Styela clava: one gene and its partner. The protein of the gene in region 1 binds, or shares a complex with, the protein of each later gene. Links are inferred from orthologs where the notes say so. Each region holds a gene or a part of one and is shown on either strand. Other genes may lie near its edges.

Region 1 (7,687 bases):
AAAACAAGTTTTATGGCACATATTCCACTCTGATTTTGTAAGTAAATTGCAAACAATACATGCTAAGGTTGACCCTAGTGATCACAATCCATTGCGAGGCAAAATATTGAAAAGAATTGACATCCCTTTAACAATAAATGCCTATGATCTCACCTCTTCTTGTGGATGTGGTTCATCTGACGACCAGACTCTCAAGAAACTGTGATGGATTTTTTTTCTTTTCCTAGTGATGTATTCATGCAAGGCAGATAAAACTTGATTTAATTCTGTTGACCTCTGATCTTGTAACAAAGCACCAACCCATGGCAGAGAAGTTAATATGGAATATGCATACCTGGAATAGTGAACGTATATTTGTTAATTTTATTTAATAAAAGATACAGCCAAAGGTAGCAATTTAATAATATGCTGAAAATGAATCAACTAAGTGAAAAATTATAAAATAGAAATTCAAGTTATTTAAAAATTGTTTTACTATTCAGAACTCAATCACATAGATACCGATTTTAGGTCTAAATAAGCATATCTACGCCCAATATAATGTTTTAACTTTTAATAATTTTGAAGTAAAATTGTGAAACCAACATATAACATAGTAAAAAACATCAAATGAATAAATATTAAATTACTTAGTTTTGGATATATCATTGCCAGCTGATGTGACTTCTGGCTTCGCTAATATTTGTCAAATTTGATCTTACCTGTCTACCTTATTTTGGATATTTACTTTTCTTTATTTTGGATATATATATGTTCCATCCACATATTTTCAATGTGTTTTTCGAATTATACATACTTTCGCTCTACTATCTGTTATTTGTAGCTTATTGTTAATTAGTTATTTTTGAGCTGGGGCGCGATACTTGACAAATTCTGAAAAGGGGGTCCGGCTTAAGAACCACTGATGTAAAATACTCACCAATCTCTGCGAGCTTGAGGAACATCTTCTTCTCTAATTACAGTAAATAAATTTTCGTAAAATCCAAACAATGATTCAGGAGTAACCATGTGGCAATTGACAAGATCTGCAATAAACTTCACCTGAAATTGAAATACAAAATTTTAGGAACGTCGACAATAGCAAACAGTATACTATCATGAAGTATCTTCTGTGTCTGCAATGTAGAAAGTTTTATACAAACACGAGAAACATCAACTATATTTGGAAATTTATAATGCTCTGGCCTCTGGGTGATTGGTACGCATGACCCCTTTTTTCATAACTAACGGCACCATCTTAGTTAGATTCTACATGTTCTAAATCAGGGGTGTGCAACCTTTAATAATAGAGAAGGGCCAGATACAAATAACTGGGTAAAACTGCGGGCCGCACCTTTATTTAACATAAGCTGTCTAGTAGTTGCAAGCACAAACATTTTGGTTGTTGATCTCATGACATTCGTTGCTCGCTACGCACAAGCAAGCTGTTAGGACACGGTAACTTCAAAGGCATAAATAATACTAAGATACCACTACTACTGCATACTACTAAGATACCACTGCAGAATGAATATATATACTTACAACATGTCGAGCATCATCGTACTGATTAGCATTTAACAATCTTTTTAATTCACGAACCATCATTTCAATAAAATCCCCCCCACAATTGTAATTTCGAACATTTAGCAAACCAACAAGAGTTGTGTATATCGTACATTTTTCTGGAAGTTGATAAGAGCTGAAATACAAAATGTAGATGTAAAAATATAAATAAATAAATTTATATTTTAAGGGAATTTTTAACTGTCTGTATGATTCCTTGTTTTTTTTCATCATAATTCATTGATCATACCTCTGTAGGTTATTTAAAAACCTATATAAAAACATATATTCCCTTTTAATTCAAGAGCCCACGACCTGGCTTTGAGCAAAAAACACTCCAAAAATTAATACCAATGTATAAAAGGAAGTAATGGCTGAATTTACATTAACATAAATTTTCCTTTTATATGTGCTGTTATATGTTTTATTCATTTTTTAAGAATTACTCATTCTAAATGCAACCTAAAGTGCTCATTTGAATATAAATATTATACCAGAATATATAATATATGGCAATCACTAATCACATTTGGGTCCCAAATAAAACTGAAACTGCAAACTTTTAGGTTCATAAATATGAAGAAAATTTACATTTACTAAAAAAATCACATATAAAAAATAAAAAAAGTACCATAAAACTAAAATCCTTAAAATTTGAGGTTTGAAGTTTGGTAGATCTGCTTCAAGTACAACCGACAATCCTTCCAAATTGCTTTCCAAGGATGAACTGCTTTTTTCTCCAACTCTACAAATTAATGATTCAAGTCTCTTCTCAATTTCCTCAGAACTTTCCGTAGTCTTTCTTCTCTTTGAGAGATTTCCACCACTTGCTTCAGCTGGATATAATACATAATTTATTGATAGTCTAGGATTCGAAAATATTCTAATAACATTTGAAAATATTGGAACATTGTTATTCAAATTTAGCAGAATTTGCCACTTTATGAAATTTTTTGCGAGATTATACGATATAGGCAGGCAGTCCTATTTGTATAAATGCAGAAATGAGTACACATGTACACGGATAGTCCTATACCTGCGTCGAATAAAATGTGGTTTGTGAATCGGACATGCTGTCGCTAAAAACACACAATTATGTGAAATATTTTGATATGTGAACAAATGTCCAATGAGATGCCAGGATGCAAAATTATACGGAAAAATTGAACGATTCTCTGTCAGTAAAATCTTCTAAGACCACTATATAAAAGAATAAAGTGTGTAATGGGAGGAATGTTTTTACATTTGTAGTGCTCATTTTAGTAGTTAAACCTGTATACTGAAATAACAATCAATACGATACCTTCATCTTCTGATGACGCGTCCCTTGCATCATGAGGTCTTCTTCTTGACATTTCAACCGAAGGATAGAAACAAATCTCAAGTTTTTTTAGTTATACATTGACTAAATTCTTAAATTTGACTTTCTGAAGTACTGGTACCGGTACTACAGTACTATACAGAAATGACAGAATAAGAAGCTTTTGAAGTAATGTCTCTGTGAAAATTCAAAGTTAACATTCTGACATTAGGTCTCTGTGGGGCATTCGAAGGGATTATTGGAATAGCAGGTCAGCCTACTTGTTTAGCAAATAAATACGGTCAAATTTATTTAAAAGGTTAAAATCAAAATATATTTTTAAAATCATTATTTCTGAATTATAAATCAATTAATTATCAATCATTGATTTCGGTAGTCATAACATACAACTAACATAAAAACGTAAAAGTACACGCCCGCCCATCAAAAAAAATAATAATACAAGCATACAAAAAACACGATTCAGAATCGGGCAAAGCTTCCACATTGCTGAAGGGATCTATGGACAACTTATAACAAAATTTTGTTGGATAAACTTAATGTAGTTAATAAACTTCTAACGACTTCTTCCTTCCAATTATGGTAATTGCAGAATTGAGAGATCACTAGAATTTGGTTATTCTAACAATAAATATTGTAAAAATCTGCTGAATTGACTGATTGAGATACTGCTGTACTGAGCTAAAAGTCTCACACTATTATTTTTTTTGATGGGATAATCTAATAAGTAGCCTATAATATATAAGTACAGAAGTATAAGTTTTTAGTCTATATAATGAAACATAACTAAAAGTACTGAAGTATATAACCAGGCGAACAGTCATAAAATAAATAATCCGTTATTAATTTTTCACATGTCAGTATGTCTATTGCATCACCAATTTTTAGTATATTGAGTTATAATATGTACGGTACAATAAAAGTGAAAAATTAAATATATTCAGATATTAGACATGTTCATTTTTATACTAGTCAATTTATACACACTTGATTCATAGTTTAAATACAATTTCTAAGTAGACTATTTCAAATTCCCTGACAAAATTGGGTAATTTTCTATTTTTTTCAATGTTGAGTCTGTAAGTGATTGCAGTTTTTATTTGTTTGATAACTAGGTGCTGATCAGGGGGGATACCGTACCTTCGAATATAACAGAATTTCGTTGTATCCATATTTTATACCGGTATCTAGTATTTTATTTTTATTGAGAGAGAGAGAGAGATTTATTTTCGTCAACCAGAAAAAAAAAACAGTCATAACAATAAATAATGGTAACAATATATACACTTTTTTCGGTATAGACTGGAAGGAGCGATACGACCATGCGGTCATCGGAGTCAGCTCCCTCCAAGTTTACGCTGATTAGTTCACAGTAAAATATGACTATTTGAAGTGGTTAAAATTCATGAAACAAAATTTGAAAGAAAAGAAAAAAAAAAACGAACAAAACAAAAAAATGGACTAAGCAATTGTTCGTGTTAACATCTATATATACAAACAAACAATTTGAATAAACATGGTAATACAGAAAAGTTATAAAACTAACAAAATAAATGTGGTATGATGCAACTAAGAAGCCCATTACTATTTTTCATTTGAAGAAATATTGCATTCATTTTGGACTGGGAGAATAATTTATGAAGGGATATTACAAGCATTCGTCATGGATACATATTTGGAAAATATATGTAAGCGGGATCGGGATGCTATTTATCGTTTTGATATTACATGTGATGTTGTTATCTAATTTACCTAAATTGCCTGCAATTGGGCTACAAATTTCAATAGCCATCGACATGTGATGATTAAAAACAAAATGAGAAAATAAGAGAAGGGCTGAGGCGCATTATACAAATTGAACAAAAAAAATATAATTATTTTAGCAAAGTAAATTTTTAAAAGATAAGATTTGTCTTTGAGAAATGAAACAGTTTGAACGAATAATCAACTATTACACAGACTATTATTTGAAAGCGAGGTCTAAGTCCCATGAATAAAAAACAAATTTGGCTATTGGACTACTACACTCAAATGTAATGTTGGACACATAACAATTGTTTGAGTGAGTAAGCGGTAAGCCTCACATATAAAAATAAGTTTCCGGAGATAAACAAAATGGTACTCATAGTCATGTGAATATAATATTGGGAAACAATTGTATAAAGAGTGGAATCAGCCTTATAACAAGAAAGAATTTAGACAGATGGGTGACTAATACCCACAAATACATATATAAGTACCAATTTATAAACTATTATATGCCCCAAATGTGAAACAATTTTGGTAATCTTAATATCGAGTGGAAATTTGGATAAATAAACATTATTTGAAATAGAGAGGGTCAGCCTCTCAAATGCACAAAATAGACCTCAATATAAAGAATATGGCAAGGGTTCAGCCTCAAAATTAGATGGCAGTTATTGCAAATACACCAATGGTTCTCATAATATAAATATGAATAAATAAACTATTATTTGAATCAGCAAGGGTTTGCCTCAAAATTAGATGGCAGTTATTGCAAATACACAAATAGTATTCAATATATAAATATGAATAAATAAACTATTATTTGACTTAGCAAGGGTTTACCCCAAAATTAGATGGCAGTTATTGCGAATACACAAATAGTATTCAATATATAAATATGGATAAATAAACTATTATTTGACTTAGCAAGAGTTTGCCCCAAAATTAGATGGCAGTTATTGCGAATACACAAAAAGTATTAAATATATAAATATGGATAAATAAACTATTATTTGACTTAGCAAGGGTTTGCCCCAATATTAGATGGCAGTTATTGCAAATACGCAAATAGTATTCAGTATATAAGTACGGAGAAATATACTATAATTTGAATCAGCAAGGATTTGCCTCAAAATTAAATGGCAGTTTTGGCGAATACATAAAACAGTACTCAAAATATAAATAGGATAAATAAACTATTATTTGAATCAGCAAGGGTTAGCTTCAAAATTAGATGGCAGTTATTGCAGATACACAAATAGTACTTAATATATAAATATGAAGAAATAAACTATTATTTGAATCAGCAAGGGTTAGGCTCAAAATTAGATGGCAGTTATTGCAGATACACAAATAGTACTCAATATATAAATGTGGAAAAATAAACTATTATTTAAATCAGCAAGGGTTAGGCTCAAAATTAGATGGCAGTTTAGATTAGATTGCAAGGGCACCAATGGTGCTCATAATATAAATAGCCTATGGATAAATAAACTATTATTTGATTATTTGATTGGCTCACCCAATGAGTTAGAGAGAGAGAGAAGGTTTATTTCATTTTGTCAAACCAAGAAAACAATTTATGCACACATAAACAAATATCAAAAAAAAAGTTTTCGGTATAGGCTATGACTGGGGGGCAACGATACGACCTTTGGGGGTCATCAGAGTCAGTTGCCACCCAATTATATTAAATAAGAATAAAAATGAGTGATTTAAATAAATAGCCTATGCAAAAAAAGAATAAATGTCTAAACAAAATAAGTCCCTATTCCTTTGAATTCCTAATCCATTTGTTGAAATTGATTTTCATAGTTTTTTCAGTTTGTTTCATCAGTGATTATTAGTTCACAATATTCTGAGTCTAACGAAGTAAACGCCGCAACCCAGACTGGCAGATTCCATGACAATGCACGCCCGAGGGCGCTAGCGCTCCGCAAAAATGCACGCGAGTGGAGTCAATTTTGCACGCCGAAAATTTGCAATTGCTCACCAATGAAACCGGGTAAAATCAGTAATATATATATTTACGGTCAAAATAGCTTTTAAATCAAAAATCGAGTAGGCTAATAATTGAGTCCCACCGAGTGTTTATGTTACACAAGTTTGACGCCCGAACAACACCGGTACCCGTTCGTGTCTTTGTCTTTTTTATTTTGAATATATGTTTGTGTTGAATGTGGGTAAACTGGCGCATGTATATTTACGTATATTAAAACTTTATAAAGGCTTTGTCAGTTTTCCCCGATTTTCCCAATCTTCTCTGTGTTAATTGTTTGTATTTTGTGTATGATTTTTTTGTGGAAAAATTAAAATGTATGCCAACAAATCGTAGCTCCACGATCGATTGTTGACTACATGGTAGCTTGCAAGATTCGGCTTGATCGAAAAATGCGTAGCAAAAACGACTTTATTTCATAATTGCTTGGTGGTGTGGCGCATCGTGTTGAATGATAGGTGTTAATAATGTCTTAGTTATATGTTACGGTCAACGGTTATATGTCAACTGAATACGCTTACACTTTTTTATTACACCAGCGCAACACACAACATAAGATGCTTACAGCAACAGAACATATTAGAGAGTGACGCAACTGCGACACGTTAGCACCAGACACATAGCTCAATCAATTATTATGGACGTTACTCGACAATGCATTATTAGCCATCATCAACAATAGGAATTCGGTTAATATAATTATGTGCGAGTAGATTGCTGGACTCCTCGCCGACGCTAGTCAGTTACGACTTCCCCCACCAGCGAAGTATAGAAATAATGTTAGGGGGTTAAAGGTCAAGCGTCAATTCTCCTCTGATATAACGTATTTTTTATTCAATAAATTTAAGCGGATGTACTAAACAGTATCTAAAGTGGCAAAAACACTCTCAAAACTAATGACAAAGTATAGAAATAATGTTTGAGGGTCAATGGTCAACTGTCCATTTTGCTCTGATTCAACGTATGTTCTATCCAATAATTTTACGCGGGTGTACTAAACAGTATCTAAAGTTGTAAGAACACTCTCGAAATTAATGACATAGTATAAAAATGATGTTTGAGGATCAAAGGTCAAA
Region 2 (7,453 bases), on another chromosome or scaffold:
GTGCACAATTCAGTTCCGCAATTCCAATTTGAGAAATACACTAATAAAAATGAAAAAGTCGTAATAAAAATTAATTTTTGTGAAAACAACCAATGCAGGAACAGCGATGTCATCAGTTACAAGTGACTAGTCATGACCGACCAGCTATGATGTTCTTTCTGGAGTTAAGGCTCCGTCATGTTGGGTTATTAGAGTAACCTTGAACATGGGCATTTGCTAATTATAAATTTGAATAATATTGCCCAATATCAGATTTCATCAAAGCCCAGTTTACAGCACTACGCTATTTTTTGACTCAAGCTTGTGTCTGGAACAAATTTACAATCAACTCCAAACTGCTTTTGAAAATAATTTTGACTACAACTCCGATCGGGTTAAGTAAAATTACGATTGAGAGAATGAAATTTAGACGTTAGGGAATTCAGACTCCAGAGCGTTTGAAAATACAGCCCGGACTCAATTATCAACATGCTAAACTCTGACCCTGCTTCCAAGCAGGATATTTATTATGTCCAACATGAACGTTATTTGATGAAAACTCCAGGCTGCAAATATTTGTTAGTGTAGAGATGCACTTGCCAGTTTTCTATTAATTAAGGATGTCTAGGTTCTTTTATTCCAGGAATAATTTAGGAGGGCTCCATGTTGAAATTTGTCATCTTTGGCAAATACCATTAGACTGTCAGACAAAAAATGAGGTTAGTTCAATTCAAACTCAGAAGTTGTGAAAAGATTACCATACATTAAAATGTTTGGACCAAATTTTGAAGGTGACAAATTTGAATATATTCCTCCGGTATGCCATATTCAAATAAGTTATTTCAAAATAATAAACAATTTGGTAATGGTCATCCCTGGTCGTACGATAACGATATGGTCGTACAAAGATAACTTGTTTTCAAGATAATTCTATAGTGGCTGCAACCCAACTTACATAAAAATGGCTTTTTGTCCAAATAGGTGGAAATAAAAAGTACAATTTCATGGAGTAACAGCAGTTATCCGACAACTTCGCAGAGTTTTTCTCTTGCCACAGAGGGCACAGACAGCCATGAAAGATTATTTAGTTTTGTTGTTGATTTTTCTGTCCGAACTTGTTAGGATTCTTTGGTTTTAGTTGAGCTCTGACACCAAATCCTCCCCTTCCTGGGTCATAATCTGATCTGTATTCATCACGAACCTGAAGACAAAAACATAAATATGTAATTTTATCATAAAAAGTCTAGTCGTGCACAATTGGAAATGTGCATTTTCCAAAGATATTAAATTTGTGATTGAAAGCTTCAATATTAAATGATCAGGAAATAAACTGCACAGATAGGACACAGATAAAACATTTCAGCATAGATTTTCGATGTCATTACCTACCCAAAAATAAATTAAATCAACTTTTTTAAATTACCAATTGAAAATTTATTTGACACAAGTTTAGACCCACATTTTGACTCATGCTTTTGAGTTTAATTTGAGGAATTTACCTAGCAAGTAGCAAGCATTACCCAAGATGTTGGGAAACATTTTTTCAGAATGAATTTGGAGAAGTGGATTATTAAGTGCTGGTTATCTCTGTCTTTACTCCTCTGTAATATACAAAACAACTGCAAAAAACATACCTGTCCACCAGATTTTCCTCTTCCAAATTGCCTTCCTTCTTTGAATCCAGCATCCCAGTCTGTTCGCACAACTCTGTCATCAAGCCTCGTTCCGTTTATATACCTGATGGCATCAGCAGCGTGATCTCTTGCGTAGTATCTGAAATAAATGTACAGGGTGTCCATAAAGCTTTTTAACAATTTAAAAAAATTATTACATAGTAAAATGATGAGATATCGCAATGAGGGTTGTTTTATGTTAATCAGTATTTCATAAAATTGTTATTGACACATTTAATACACTTATATACGGGCACCATCAGTTATAAAAAGCACATCCAGACGGTACTTAATTTCCTGTCATGTTCGTTGTAGCATAGCCTCATCAATGATTGCAATGGCACTGGAAATTTGGGTCTAGTATAGTTTAGTACTACAAGTACTTCCAATGGACGTAGCATAACGAATTTTGCATATGTTATTCCTCACCCCCACCTGACTATGCCATCCACTACGACGAGGTCACCATCATGTCATAGAGCTTGCCAAAGTATAATTGAGATCGCCCGAAATGGCATCTGCGACGCTGATAACGAACTCGCTAACGCCGGCTATCTCCCTCCTACCTCGATTTCGGGTGATCGTCTGCGCATTTTGGACGACCATCCGCATACTTTGGTGGGCCTTCTTACGCCACTTTGACGTCGAAATGACGTAATGTTTCGGTGACGTAGTCAGGCGGGGGTTAGGATTGACATGTGCAAAAATTGTTGAGCCAGGCCAACTAGAAGTGCATGTGGTACTAAACTATACCAGACCTGTAAATTATATGTTTTAGGTTGGTCATGTCCCGTTTATTTGTTCGATACACAATATACTTTATATAACCCTAAAGAAAGAAGTCCAGAGGGCTCGTATCTTGTTTCCTAGGGCTCCAAGAAAATGACTGTTGAAAATTTGAGAAAACGATGTGTAATTGACTATACCCCACAAAAAAACTTTACTTACTCAACAAAGCAAAAGCCGCATGGCGTTTTCTTATATTTATCTAAACCCATAACAACTCGTTTAATATCTCCGCATTTTCCAAAGAGTTCATATATCTGTTCTTCTGTTGTATAATATGATAAATTCCCAACATAAAGCGTTGTAGTCAGGTTCAAAAGCTTGTCTTGTTGGTCACGACTCCCCTTGAAATGCTGATCGCGGTACGGCGTTAGTTCTACGTAAGGATCCTTGGCTACAGGCCTTAAAATAGTCTTTTCCGTTATATCCACATCCATTTTAATAAGTGTTACTCCTCCAATAGTGAGAATGAACAATATTTTAAAAATATTCGAGAAAACGCGTTTACAGTTTCACAACCCTGCAGCTACACCTCTGTGAAGTTAGCAGAAAATGTTGGGCCTACTCTAACCTTTGACCCAAGATCTTCGTAATTATTCGGGCATGCTTTGGGCTTGAAGTGAAAGTGAAATAATTCGGCCCGCGACGCTCCACTGAAGTATAGATACAAAACGGCTGCTTTGACGATTATATTTTTTAGGTAACAGAGTTTATTGTGAGTCACGTGTAGACTAAATTATAATATGACCTAACACGCAAAAAGTATTCAAATGGACTTTTTGAGGTGCAACGCATTGGGGAAATAAATCTATATTCTATTCGAGAGGTGTATCACTGGTTGATTTTTATAAAAAAGTATTTTCTTTGAGGAAAACTCTATCCAAAATTAACAACAAAATTAACCATGCGAAAAAATTCACATTGATGTTTTTGGAAGTAGGCTACATATGCATGCGAACAATTATTTTCGAAAATGAACATAACAAAAAACAAGAGAGCTATGCTCAAATATATGGACACGTAGACTCACATAATTTTGATGACGTCATAGCGAAAAAAAAGTAATAGCCTTTATCTTGAACCAATGAAAATTTCAAAGCAATTGGTCCAGTATTCGAAGAGAAAAGCGACTTCTTCAAAACGTGTTGATGGAGACAAATAATAACAATAACAACAAAATTTTGAAACGATCGTTATGTCCACTACGTGTCCAACAAGCAGAAAACTCGGATGAGTGATTCCCATTTATATAAAATGTTTTAATCTTGGTTTCATCCAGTGTCCGATTTGAAAATGTTTCCCAATTAGTGTGATGTCGAAAACGTATCAAGCGTGATGCATTAAAAAGTGTCACGTTAAATGTCAATAGTAAATTTTTTTCTGAAAGTAAAATGACGAAGTTTAGTTCATGAGTTGTCTCGGTTTTTGCGTGCTGCTTAAAATTTAAAATTTTCACTTCTGTCTGTGTGAAAATTGTGATTTATCGGCCATTCGTTCGGTTTTTATTTTTCTAAAAAAATATGCGGCCATAATTTTGGTCCGCGAGCTACAAAAGGTTGCCGAGCCACGGCCTAGCCTAGACCCTAGGACAGGGATTCCGGACGTGGTTCAGATGGACCCCCAGGTGACTAGTCCAAAATTGTACAGGGTAATAATATTGAGTGCATCAAAATTAAATAGTTCTATCAAGACAGCAAGTGATTTTAACTTGGATATTTCCAAGAAACACTCGGGGGAAAAGGCCCACTTTGAATAAAAATTAGGGGTCCACCATTAAAAAGGCTTGGCGAGCCCTGCTTCGGGAGGATAAAAAGTCGATAGACTGCTTGGTAATACAGCTAACTAGAGCCCTTCGTTCGGTTATCAGTCCGCATAGGTTATCCCATAACCATTATTGGAATTATTACCCACGGCGGTGTGGCGCGTCGTGTTGAGCTGAAGCGCTCGCTACCGCACCTCTGATTAACTTGCGTGCATTTGCAGGTTCGAATCCCGAGGGGATTATTATGTGCGAGAGGATTGCTGGACTCCTCTATGATTATGAATGAAAGTGTGACGAACCGGTAACTCGCGTGGTTACCAGTCTATATCGGGTATGCAATAATGAAAAGCGTACATGAAGACGAGAAAATAAAATTCACGGGCAAAGCCCACTTGTAAAATTGTAAATAATTTTGATGAGCGAAAGTGGTAAAGAATATAAAAACAATTAGAAGTTATACAAAGGTGCCTGCGCCCGAATGCGAATCCTAATAATGAGTGATTAGCTTCAATTTTTTTGGTAAATAGACAAAGCTAAAAAGTAAACAACAAACATAAAACTAGTAGCGTTGCCCTTTGCTGTGTAACAAAATTGGTTCGAATTTAAAAAGTTTACATTTGAGAATTTGTAATGTTGATCATTTGCCAATGAAGGTCATTCATAAAATTAACTTAAATCTGGCAACAACTACCGATCCAAAAACTTCAATATGCATGCAGACATCTCGGCTTCTTTACACCAAAGCTACTCAACTATTTTCACCGAAGATTCGTATAAAATCTTCGAAATTATTGGGGTCCCGTATTTCCAAAAATAGATTTCACAGTGCGCCTAAATATATTTCAGTGCCTACAACTTTTAGGTTTAAGCGTAAACTGAAAAACGGTTTGGTGCAAATAAAAACATAACTCTCAGTACAGTACAGAAAAGAGAATTTAATAGAAGGAAACCTACGCATATCCTAACTCAACTCTTATCCTCCATGGTAGAGTAGGCCTACTGCTTCTTTTTGGTTTTCGTGTCTATTTATTTGAGCATCGCTCTCATGCTTGTAATGTAATCAAAATTGAGAACTGTAAGATGATATTTATGACCTCATTATTAATGCTATACTTGTCACCGTTGACTTTGCTTGCTTACGCTCTCTCTTGCTCGTACTGCATGCTGCTAAGTATTGCAATCTATGATGTCTATGTTATATCCATAAATATACTCAAACATCCTGAACAGTTGTGTGTTTACCCACAAACAAACAAGAACGACGTAGCATAAATTGAATCGTTTCGTCAGCCTGATTCTGATTTTTTTGACATACTTATAGACTTTTCGTTTGATTCATGAAGAGAATCTATTGGCCACGTTTTTAAAAACAATCAGTTTCGTTGGAAATTCATCAGGGCAAAGCCCACAAGACACGGATTCGTGAAAAAAAAACATTGGCCCGACAATTGCTGAATCCGCACAAGTACAAGGCGAGCTTGCCCTTAACACAGTGCCCATCAGTTCTCCCTTTCCATTTAGATGACGCTGCTCGATAACCATGACTGGTTTATCGTCTCCCTTCACGCTGAAATACATTATTTATATTTTATCCTACTGTTTGTAAACTTCCGTATTCTTAGTATGTGCAAAAATAAACTACTGACAGACATCTAAAGATAACATTCACATGACCTTGACAACATAAAGCTTCTCTGAATTATTGCCGACTCATTTTTTTCTTATATTAAAATTGCCTCATAATTTCGGGTAGTATACTCTTACCGTAGCCTATCATAAATGCTTAAAAAAAATTAACGTTGTGAATGAGAAGCCTCGGTGACCTTCATTTGTTTACAAACTGATCCCAACAAAAATGATATGATCCGAATTGCGGATTTTATATTCAATATTGTATATATATTTACTTGTTAATGGTGAAAAATCTCTTCTTCTTTCCTAGACACTAACAATCCCATTACATATAATTATTGCTCATTAGTTCATTGAATCGAAACTCAAAAGATTAATCAGTTTAGGCCCAGGGATTCTCAAACTACAGAGCCTTTGTAGAGGTTGACTATTATTCACAGCCCCACAAACATTTTTAAAAACCAATAAAAAAAAACACAGTGTTACTTACCGATTAATATTCCTGAGTAAGTTAAAATTACTTTACTTAATTTGAATGTTGAATCTTTTTTAATAGGGTTAATACAAGCCATGAATAAATCTGAATTTCCCAGATAAATTATATATATTATGACTGTATTAGGGCTTTATCACTTGACAAACATATCAATAAATTCGGGGTCGAACTCCTTCCCTTTTGATATTTTTGGTAGACTGAAACCGTTGCTAATAACGTGTGCGATTGTATATTTTGAAATCGCCGATTGTTTTTTAGACCGTGGTTTACGTCAGTGGTTCCCAACCTTTCTACCCTGGTGGACCAGTAAAATTAAAATAAAAGTACTCGCGGACCGGCAAAAAATTGAAATGACCGAAACAGAAAAGAATAACATTTATTTGCGTAGTACAGCGGTGTTTATTCTCCCCAAATCACAAAAGTTCCTTGGCATATGCAGGTATTGTTCCACAAGGACGACGATAAAAACTTTTTTGTTCTCGTACGGAATTGTAAGTTCAGTGTGAAAAACAAATTTCTTGATTGAAAAGCGGCATTATAAAATATTAAAATTTAACATAAAACGGAAGATAAGACCATAAGTTTTGTTTTAGCAGACCCACGACAGATTAAAAACGTGTAAATCACAAAATTTGGCGTTATGTCAGGTTTTCTTCGGAAATTATACGGTAGTCGCTGAAATCAAAACACGGTCAATTATGCGCGCGATGTAACTTTTACCCATTCTGAAAACACCGCAGGAACCGCATGCGACTTTTTCTCGTTATGTGGCGATGATAATTATTGTGAAGTATATCAATCAATTTTTTTGCAGTTAAAAAATTTCAATCGTTCGTATTTTGTCCGGAAATTTCAAACGTTAAAAAGAATCAGGGACAGACCTGCGATAGAGCGGAGTAAGTGTTGCAAGAGCGGCCCAAATTTGTCGAATTCGATAAATCGCTGTAATTTGTCACACAATCAGTCATGATATACAAGTGATAGCCATGATATATATCGTTTATTTGACTTTGTTTCCAATATATTTATAGTTGGCAGTTTAGCAAGTGTTTTATGTTATTTTAGAATAGTAATCTTTCATTTTAGTAATTTCGACTCAAAGACGAGAAGCGATGAACAGAATTA

Evidence for each region.
Region 2: nuclear cap-binding protein subunit 1-B-like (region 1) and nuclear cap-binding protein subunit 2-like share a complex: the UniProt entries of both Drosophila melanogaster proteins name them as parts of the nuclear cap-binding complex. The link is inferred for Styela clava from reciprocal best matches to the Drosophila melanogaster genes Cbp80 and Cbp20.

Annotation. Positions count from the first base shown.
Region 1 is NC_135261.1:13,146,831-13,154,517, reverse strand, and holds the start of nuclear cap-binding protein subunit 1-B-like, read right to left. Parts: upstream 3,023-7,687; 5' UTR 2,901-3,022; coding exon 2,849-2,900; intron 2,382-2,848; coding exon 2,177-2,381; intron 1,682-2,176; coding exon 1,525-1,681; intron 1,042-1,524; coding exon 920-1,041; intron 335-919; coding exon 154-334; intron 1-153. UniProt on the Drosophila melanogaster protein: Component of the cap-binding complex (CBC), which binds cotranscriptionally to the 5'-cap of pre-mRNAs and is involved in various processes such as pre-mRNA splicing and RNA-mediated gene silencing (RNAi).
Region 2 is NC_135252.1:23,083,300-23,090,752, forward strand, and holds the start of nuclear cap-binding protein subunit 2-like, read right to left. Parts: upstream 3,006-7,453; 5' UTR 2,876-3,005; coding exon 2,601-2,875; intron 1,753-2,600; coding exon 1,614-1,752; intron 1,181-1,613; coding exon 1,064-1,180; 3' UTR 1-1,063. UniProt on the Drosophila melanogaster protein: Component of the cap-binding complex (CBC), which binds co-transcriptionally to the 5' cap of pre-mRNAs and is involved in various processes such as pre-mRNA splicing and RNA-mediated gene silencing (RNAi).